Linked DNA regions of Saccharomyces cerevisiae S288C. The protein of the gene in region 1 interacts with the protein of each later gene in a biochemical or structural test. Each region holds a gene or a part of one and is shown on either strand. Other genes may lie near its edges.

Region 1 (3,957 bases):
ATCGAAAAATTCTGATCCTTTGATAATGCTAATGGTATGCCATTGACATTTGTAGTGATTTCCATCGGTTGTTTGGGTATGGTTTCGGATTGCCAGCAATTCTGTGAGATGTTATAGATGTCTATTTTCTTGACCGGCTGATCCATGTTATTAAGACCTCCGACAATTATTAATTTCGTGTCTCTATTATCGTTATTTTCGTTCTTTACATGCATGGTATGGTTGAACCTTCTCGCTATTTGAGGGTCATCACTCAAAAGCGACCACTTCTTCGTGTTTAAATCCAGTTTCCACAACTCATTGGTAGCAATCAACTCATATCCGCTCTGAGGAGACACTGTGAGACCACCAAATATATATAAACAGCCATCTAAATAACATAAGGAATGGAATAGCCTCTCCTTGAGCGGAGATTCAAGGGATTTACCTTTCTTAATGTCCGTTCTAATCTCGTTTGTGTCATTATCTGCTTTGGCGCTAGAACTCTCTGCCTTTAATAATTCCTCTGTCCTTTGGTCAAAGGAGGTCTTGACTCTGTACCAGGTTCTAGACATCAAGTCTAAGAAAAACGTCTCCTTACTTATCCACTCGTTTAAATTCCTAAAAGAACTACCGTTGTTTTTTTCCTTTGCAAAAAAGAGAATAAGCTCCTTTTGTAATTGCATAGAATTTACAACTGGCAGGTTCAACGGGATGGTTAGACCACCATGTACAAATATATTAGACCTTGTTAGCGTCACCGCTGAACCTGTTCTATAGTCCAGCGTTAACCTTTTCCTGGCGCATTCATCAAACTCGTTGGAATCGGAAGTCAGTGGTAATGGCGGAAGCTTCAAAGGGTAGCAGAAGCAAGTGGATGGTTGTAATAAAGGCATACTACGCTAAAGCAGGTGCAGATTGTTACTTGTCCTTTGGTTTGCACGCGCGCTATGTTATCTTATATATATAGTAAAACAGAAAAGTCTCTAAAGCGCCTTCACCATGTAATGTTTGCAAGTGTGGCTATAGGCACAGGAAGGAGAAGAGTTCTCAAACAATTGTGGTAAACGGACGCTGTGAACTTGAAATAGACTTTGCCAGACTCTGCGCTACCAATTCATCAGAAAGCCTAATCTTGCTTTGAACTTCTCTTACACTCCACGGAGTCTGCCTTAGCCACACGCCAGCCCCTGTGAGCGTCCTCTTTTTTTTTTTTTTCAGAACTTTCTGCCGTGGCTCGCGAGATAGGCAATTCTATGTCCATGATATTGGGTTTTATACATATGTAACTAGTGTTATAAAATAGTTGACAACCAGGCCATGCCAAAAAGACAGAGTGCCAGAGGGTATATCTCGATAATGGTCTTGCTCTTGGTAACCCACGAAACGGCGGCCACAGACCACATCAGGCACAGCGCCATGACCACCAGTTTCACGAGCGACAGGACCCTCACAATCCAGCGATTTTGCTTTCCAATATGGTAGGCCAATGGAAGTAGTATCTGCGAGACTAAGGCATTCAGCACTTGTGGGAATAAGCAATACCCGGAAATGGAGATGTACGAAATCAGCGACACCCTCTGGTGTGGCTTGGTGAGTCTCAGATGCAATGCCATCACCAGCAAAATGAACCAACTAGACACAAATAGGCTCGAGAACAGCGACCGCGCATGCGATACAAATAGAGAATACAATATGATAAACGCAAGGGGCGCCCACAGGTCGCAATTGGCTGAAATGTCGTTATCAGCCGCCCCTATCCCGTCATCAGAGGGGCTAAAGAATGAGGGGAAATGCGGGTATACCACTTGTTTCAGTCTGGAATTAATCTCCACCACATCTCGCTTTAGTGTTTGCAGCACAGTCTCGTCGAGCGTCCCTCTGCTGCCTGAATTCTGCATAGTTCCGCCTATGTTGTCAGCAACACCCCCGGAAGCAGCCAAAGGTGCATCTGGTTCTATGAAGTCGGGCTCAATCGTAGTGTCTTCTCTTCCGTATGACATTTTGCCTGCCCTCTTGTGACATATCTTTCTACAAATATTGCTAAAACAGCTTCATTTGCTATTGTAAAAGGGGACGAAAAATCACTGTGAGAAAATCATCACTCCGGGTAATCCAATTTTCATGAAAAAAGACGCGAGGAAAGTCAGAAAAGTCGTGCAAAACAGCCTGAGAGATCGGGTCGCTTAAACATTTTGACACGAAACTTATAATGAAATAAAAAGCTATACTTGGTGAAACTGCAATCTTAATAGTATCCCTCCGCACAAAAATACACACGCATAAGGATGGCCTCATTTGCTACTAAGTTTGTCATTGCTTGCTTCCTGTTCTTCTCGGCGTCCGCCCATAATGTCCTTCTTCCAGCTTATGGCCGTAGATGCTTCTTCGAAGACTTGAGTAAGGGTGACGAGCTCTCCATTTCGTTCCAGTTCGGTGATAGAAACCCTCAATCCAGTAGCCAGCTGACTGGTGACTTTATCATCTACGGGCCGGAAAGACATGAAGTTTTGAAAACGGTTAGGGACACGTCGCACGGTGAAATCACATTGTCTGCTCCATACAAGGGACATTTCCAATACTGTTTCTTGAACGAGAACACCGGTATCGAGACAAAAGACGTGACTTTCAACATTCATGGGGTGGTATATGTGGATTTGGACGACCCAAACACCAATACATTGGATAGTGCTGTCAGAAAGTTGTCCAAATTAACCAGGGAAGTCAAGGACGAACAAAGTTATATTGTTATTAGAGAAAGGACGCATAGAAATACTGCAGAGTCGACCAACGATCGTGTTAAATGGTGGTCCATCTTCCAATTGGGCGTCGTTATTGCAAACTCTCTTTTCCAGATATACTACTTGAGAAGATTCTTTGAGGTCACATCTCTAGTCTAAGTAAAGCAGGAAAATGTAGTTCATATCTATTTACTTTTGCCTACATACGATTACATACACGATTGGATAACCTGAAGTCGCGAATAATTCTCGGTTTCATACTTTTTACCTTGATCCTTCCACTGTTTTTCCCTGTGCCAATTACATGTAAATAAATATATACATATATATGGTCCAGGCGCGCCATAAAACAAATACAGGTTGTAGCGAATCAAAAAATGGGAAATACATACGAAAAACTTGAAAGAAACAAGTACCACAGGACATGCTGTGGTCCGTTTTTCCCCAGAGCACTTTTATGTGGGACTCTTAGAAGGGAAATAGCTCTGTTCATATAGAACAAAAAAAGAATAGCCCTGTAGGGGGCTCGAACCCCTAACCTTATGATTAAGAGTCATACGCGCTACCGATTGCGCCAACAAGGCTAATTCGTTGGAAAACGTCCCCATTTCAGGGAAACATAGCTCACGATGTTAATAACTGATTTGTAGCCGAGCCACATTGTATCAACGCGTGATTAACACATGTTTGGAATATACTGTTGGAACAAGAATCAACTAGTGCTCATATTAGCAATATATTACTATATACGGTGTAAGAAGATGTCCACTATAGTCAGCCATATTCTTGATCTTACGAAAGGGAACTGTGATGTAAAATTTGTGACACTGTGACACCTTCTAGTGAAATATAGGGCATTACCAAAGTCACTAATGAGTAAAAATACCAATTACTGTCCGTAGTTCGTCAGATTAGAATCCACTATATTTTCTTTGATTGGGAGTTAACGCTGCATACTTGTCTTGGGTACTGCGTTAACCATAAATCACATAAGCGTCATTCATTATCGTACCTCTGGGTAAGTGTTTTTCAGGAGTTTTTATATATAATATGCTGGCCCCCAAGGCGGATGAGGACTGTATACGGTTTTGACGTTAAAGTGTTATATGAATCGCAGTCGCATACACTAGTGGACCCCTAGTTCCGCGATACGTAGTTGACCCTCAGTACAGAGATTCCCACGATTAACGGGTGTACTGCTCCTGACTAATGTAATTTTGAGTTCACCTGTTGATGT
Region 2 (5,388 bases), on another chromosome or scaffold:
CAACTCCACGGAACTGGACATTTTACTAGGTGATACTTCTGAAGATTTGAGAAAGAACATCTATGAAGGTGGGTTGAAATCATGGGAGTGCTCTTATGATTTAGTTGATTTGTTGTCAGAGAACGTTGATAGAATAAGCAACGATATCGACGCGGTTGTCGAAATAGGCTGTGGTACGGCACTACCCTCAGAGTTTCTTTTCAGATCTGCTCTTCTACGGAATGATAGAAGTAAAGGTTTAAAGTTTGTTTTGACTGACTATAATGCCAGTGTATTAAGATTAGTTACCATACCGAATTTGGTTATAACATGGGCTAAAACGGTTTTGACAAAGGAACAATGGTACGCCTTACAGAAAGACGAATGTGAAGATATTCCAATAAATAATGAGGAACTGCTTCTTACCTCAAAGCTGTTAGCTGCCTTTTACGACGATGTACAAAGCAGGAATATCAGCGTCACTCTTATATCAGGATCGTGGGGACGTAAATTTAGTAATTTGATCCATGAAGTACTCTCAGGTAGCCAAAAAGTCCTTTCATTATCCTCAGAAACAATTTATCAACCTGACAATTTGCCCGTTATAGCGGAAACAATACTTGACATACACAATTTACCACAAACCGATGTCAAAACTTACGTAGCCGCAAAGGATATTTATTTTGGAGTCGGTGGTAGCATCACTGAATTTGAAGCTTATTTGGACGACAAAATAAACTCCGAACATCTACCAATTCATTCTGAAAGGTTTAAAGTTAACTCTGGCTTAAAAAGGTCGATTATATGCATTGAAACAAATAAAGCTATCCGATAGTTAGTATAATTTGTTTCAACTTCATTTCCTTAAGTTAATCCATAAGTCTTTTACTGTATCTTTTATTTATAACATGGATGAAAATAGAAAAGAAATATAGAAGTAAAAATTAAAGTAACTGTTCAATATACATAATATAATTGGAAAGCAAAAATGCAACCAACAAAAATATACAGTTTCTTTTTATCATTGATTCCCTTTTAGCCTTATTTGCTAATTCTGGCTTTCATGATTTGTAAGAATTCTCTGTAACTTTCGTTATTCAAAATCTTATCCTCCACTAAGGTGCTAGAAGCCCATAGTCTTAGCGTTGCAACTTCCCTAGCAGATGCATGGTTAACGGGCTCGCTCAAAGAGGCACCCCTAACAATATACAATGATTGGTAAGTGATGACATCATCATGGTTTCTCAATTGGTTGATAATGTTTCTTACTCTTTGATTGAATTCAGAATTTTCAACAACAGGTATTTCCTGTTTGCCAATTGGAATGTCAAAGATATCCTGTGTTCCAAACACATCGAATACTAGCGCTGGTACAGCGTCACCACCCATCCACAAAAACAATTCGTTACCATTATCTATCAAGTATAGACCGTATCTTTCAAACAACGAAGAGGTAGCATTGATTGGTTGAGGCAAAACAATTGTGCCAGTAGCTTCACCATCTTCAGTTTGCACTGGTAACCCAGCCTCATCAGCCATATCATGCAGCGAATAAACATCAGGGTAGATGTTTTTGATTAGATATTTCAAAGGTAATGATTCTAAGTTGTTCAAGGCCGAGGCGCGATGGTCACTTGGGACAATACCAGATCTAAATGCCATATGCTTAGTTAAAGAATGCATTAACAATGGGAACATTCTCAAATTGGCACATAACCTCAATGGGGCCCCCCCTGCAGTGTTGGACACCACTATTTCCTTCTTGTACGTGGCTAAGATATCTTGCACGGATTTGTTGATCAATACTCTTGCATCGTCCAAACTGGAATTCAATGCTTTCTCCACCGCCTTCGAGTTGTAAAACGACGCTATAGCTAATTGGTCAGCAGATGCGTAGACTTCTGCCAACGATTCCGTGGTTGGCATAGCCAATGTTATAATTCTTATTCTACGTTGACTATTATTCAGAGATAAAAGTACCGCTACTTGAACATAACAATAGTCAGCCATAATGGATTCATCAACGTTAACTTCGAATAAGTATGATTGATCTCTTGGCATGGTGGAAAATGCACATAAATCAGATGATCTATTGAAGAAGTGACCATAGAATCTACTCATTCTCAAACCTGTGGAACCACGGGCTCTCATTACGGTTTCCATACAGAAATCCATGGAAATGTGCTTGGCAAACTCAGTGGAAAATTTGACAATATCATTTGGGTTCTTGCCTGAAAAACCAGGATAGAAATGCGTTTGACCAGCAGTGAAACGACTCAAATTCGATAGTGATGCAACGTCCATATAATCTTCAGAAGCCAAAAATAAATCGACAGTAATCTGTACTTTAGAACAATCGATGGTGAAATTCTTATAAAATGAGTCTTGACAGGAAAGTAGTTGTGCAGTTTCCTTGGATGTATTAACAACACCACTTTCATTTCTCCTTTGTAATTTTCCTATGCCTAAGTTGGGCAAAGTACCTGACACAACAATTATTTTACCACCAACGCCACCAATTAAATGATAAGCGGATTTCAAAGCGGGGCCCAGTGCGAAATTTGTGATTAAATTAGATTGGAAGATTTGAGGAATCTTGGTCAATAAAGTTTCAATGTTTTGTCTGCAGGCCTTTAAGGACACAACCATAGAGTTTGGTCTGGGCAAGAAAGGCTCTTCCAGGTCGGCAATATCCATCATGTTGATTTGATCGGCGGACTCTTCATTGTTTTCAGAATCCAATGGGATTTTAAAGTAGTGAATGGCGTTGTCTACACATAAGATGGAAATTCTGGTTCTTTCATCATGGTTTGGAATGGAATCAAGATTTTGCAAAAGGGTGTTGATGGTAGTGGCCAGTAACCCACTCTTGATAGAGGACTGGGAGACATCGATCAGGAAACAGTAAGTGGCTGGAGGTGGTTGTCTTAGAGTATATTCCTTTGGGGCCATATATTCCATCACAGCACATTTGATTTCATTTCTGTCGTATCTACTCTTTGGGTCGTTTGGATCGCTCTGGTCCATTTGCATAGGAACGTCATTGGCCAGACGACAAAAGTTACATCTCCATCTTCTGCCTTGCTCGATAAAAGTGACAAAAGGGTTCATGTAAGAACGACAACGACGACAACGGACAATAAGTCCATCTTCATTCAATGGAGGCGGGTCGATATCGTCGTACAAGTGTTGGTATGGTCTGATAACAAGCCCAAATGGAAGTTTAGACTTCTTCAGCAGGGAGCTGTTCTTAGGAACGGCGTTCAAGGTCGACCTGATATAATCTGGAGACGCATTGGACAATTCAGAAGGAACTAACATCCTTTCTGGAGGAATAACCAACGGTGGGGGAGGCAAGGTCAGATCGGTAATTGGAGGAGGCAATTCCGTCAACAGATCGATTGGATACAACTGGTTCATGGGCCTCATGTTTTGGCCCATTGCGGCGCTAGGTTGGCCATACGCAGGCGCTGCCATTGGTTGTTGCTGTTGCTGCAAAGGTGTGCCCATTTGCACGGGAACCTGTGGCTGCATATAAGCGTTAGGATCGACTAGCGGTACGTTGTGCAGATGCATATCGTTCATGGAAGTGGTGGCCTGATCAATTTGCTGGTGTAACTGTTCTTGAGCAGGGGTTAGGAATTGTTGCTGCCCCATGGAAGGGACTGCACCCTGTGGCGGCATTCCCATCTGACCATAGCTCATTCCAGCTGCAGCAGGATCCTGCGGAGGCATGAATTGTGCTGGCTGTTGTAGAGGGGTGGCATTTTGTCCATACTGGAGCTGAGCTTGTGGGTAAACACGTTTCTTGTGATGAGACATTTTGCAGATGGTCTCAGACTTATATATTTATGTCTGTTTCAATGCGGCAAAAATGGACCTGAGTGCCAGATAAAACCTTTTTGTAGTGCTATTTTTGGCCTGTTTCCTGATGTACCATCCTCCTTACATAGTTTTGTTTTTCTTCGTTTTCGTTCTTCCAGTTTTCATTTTCTTCTGCCGTAAATGGAAAAAACAAGAAAAAAAAAAAGAGAACAGCTAAGCGTTAACAAATCTGCTCCAGTGGCCATGTCCAAGACTGTTTTTCAAGCCCAGATAGTGCCTGAATAGACTGCATTAAGCTGAAAAACTTATAGCAGTGGTTAGTGCAAAATGCACACTTGTCAGTGCTATGTATATTTGTGACACGATTCTATCACCCAAACATAGCACTAATTACTTTTTTGTTACCCGGCATTCTAGGCGGAAATTTGCTGAAATTTTCCATCAATTAATTACGTAACCTATTCTTTTAAGAGCATGATGTTGTATATAAATATAGATCACCTTAGGAACAGTCAGGCTTTCTTAGGTTTCAGAAGTTCATGTGTCTTGGCGCAGTCAATTCTCTCGATCTTTTTTTGGTTTGGACGTTTAAGAGTAGCGGTCGCCGGAAAATAGAGAGAAAAAGGAAATTTAAAAGGAGTTCTTCTTTCTTCTTATTATTAGATCGTATACAGTAAAAAAAAAAAAAGGAAGTAGTAGTTCGAAGAGAAAGAAATAAATGGTAGGCTCGAAGGATATTGATCTATTCAACCTGAGAGAGAACGAGCAAATCGTTTCTCCTTGTCTTATCGTGCACGGAAAATGCAATAAGCAAAATGGTGCGAAGACCGTTCAAGTGCAGCATCCACAATTGCCTCCAATTACTTACCCCATACATAATCAGTTCTTCAAGGCCACTGTGATATTGACTCCTGGTGAGAACAAGTTGACCTTTGTTACAGACACTAACACCGCTAGGACAATCGTATGTTACTACACACCACTGACGCAGAACCCTCCCGTACACCTGTGTCTGATCTTGGCCAAGGATTCGCCTTTACAGTTTGACTCTCCTCGAGAACAGAAGGACAGAGAGGGCGGGAATGGCCTCGAATTGGCAATCAAGAAGCTAAGACTTGGGGCCAGACTCATGCAAGCGTACACGAACGAGCAAATGCTGAGAAACAGTATGGGAAATAGGACGTTTCCCTTTGTTGAAGAATTTACCTGGGACACGCTGTTCGAACGGCCTGCTATGAGAAACACCATCAAAATACATGTAGTTCGTTCGGAAAAGACGGTGAAGGAAATCCAGGACCCTGACATAGCTCAACAGAATTCCAAAGGGAAAAACACCGGCGCCCTTTTTGGGATAGCCATGGACGCCCTTAAAAGTTACGGCGGACCCTTCACCAATAACGAAAAGCCTGTTCAGGCAGCTTGTATGTTTCTAGACACCCACTGGGATGGTAAGTTGATTAGAGGCCACGCCGCATTGGGTGGGGGTGACGACAGCATTAAGCTCGCCATTTTTGGGTCGCACGGGCTTTACTCATGGCCTACTTGTCTCGAGCAATTGGTGCCTTATTTTACTGATGAGACAAG

The links.
Region 2: the proteins of EMP24 (region 1) and SEC24 form a complex in vitro, tested with the Saccharomyces cerevisiae proteins (one study listed by BioGRID).

The regions. Positions count from the first base shown.
Region 1 is NC_001139.9:121,616-125,572, reverse strand, and holds EMP24 (Emp24p), read left to right. Parts: upstream 1-2,267; coding exon 2,268-2,879; downstream 2,880-3,957. Other genes in the region: MDS3 (Mds3p), read right to left, coding at 1-875; YIP4 (Yip4p), read right to left, coding at 1,275-1,982. UniProt on the Saccharomyces cerevisiae protein: Constituent of COPII-coated endoplasmic reticulum-derived transport vesicles. Required for efficient transport of a subset of secretory proteins to the Golgi.
Region 2 is NC_001141.2:156,365-161,752, forward strand, and holds SEC24 (COPII subunit SEC24), read right to left. Parts: upstream 3,802-5,388; coding exon 1,021-3,801; downstream 1-1,020. Other genes in the region: HPM1 (protein-histidine N-methyltransferase), read left to right, coding at 1-814; YIL108W (putative metalloendopeptidase), read left to right, coding at 4,523-5,388. UniProt on the Saccharomyces cerevisiae protein: Component of the coat protein complex II (COPII) which promotes the formation of transport vesicles from the endoplasmic reticulum (ER).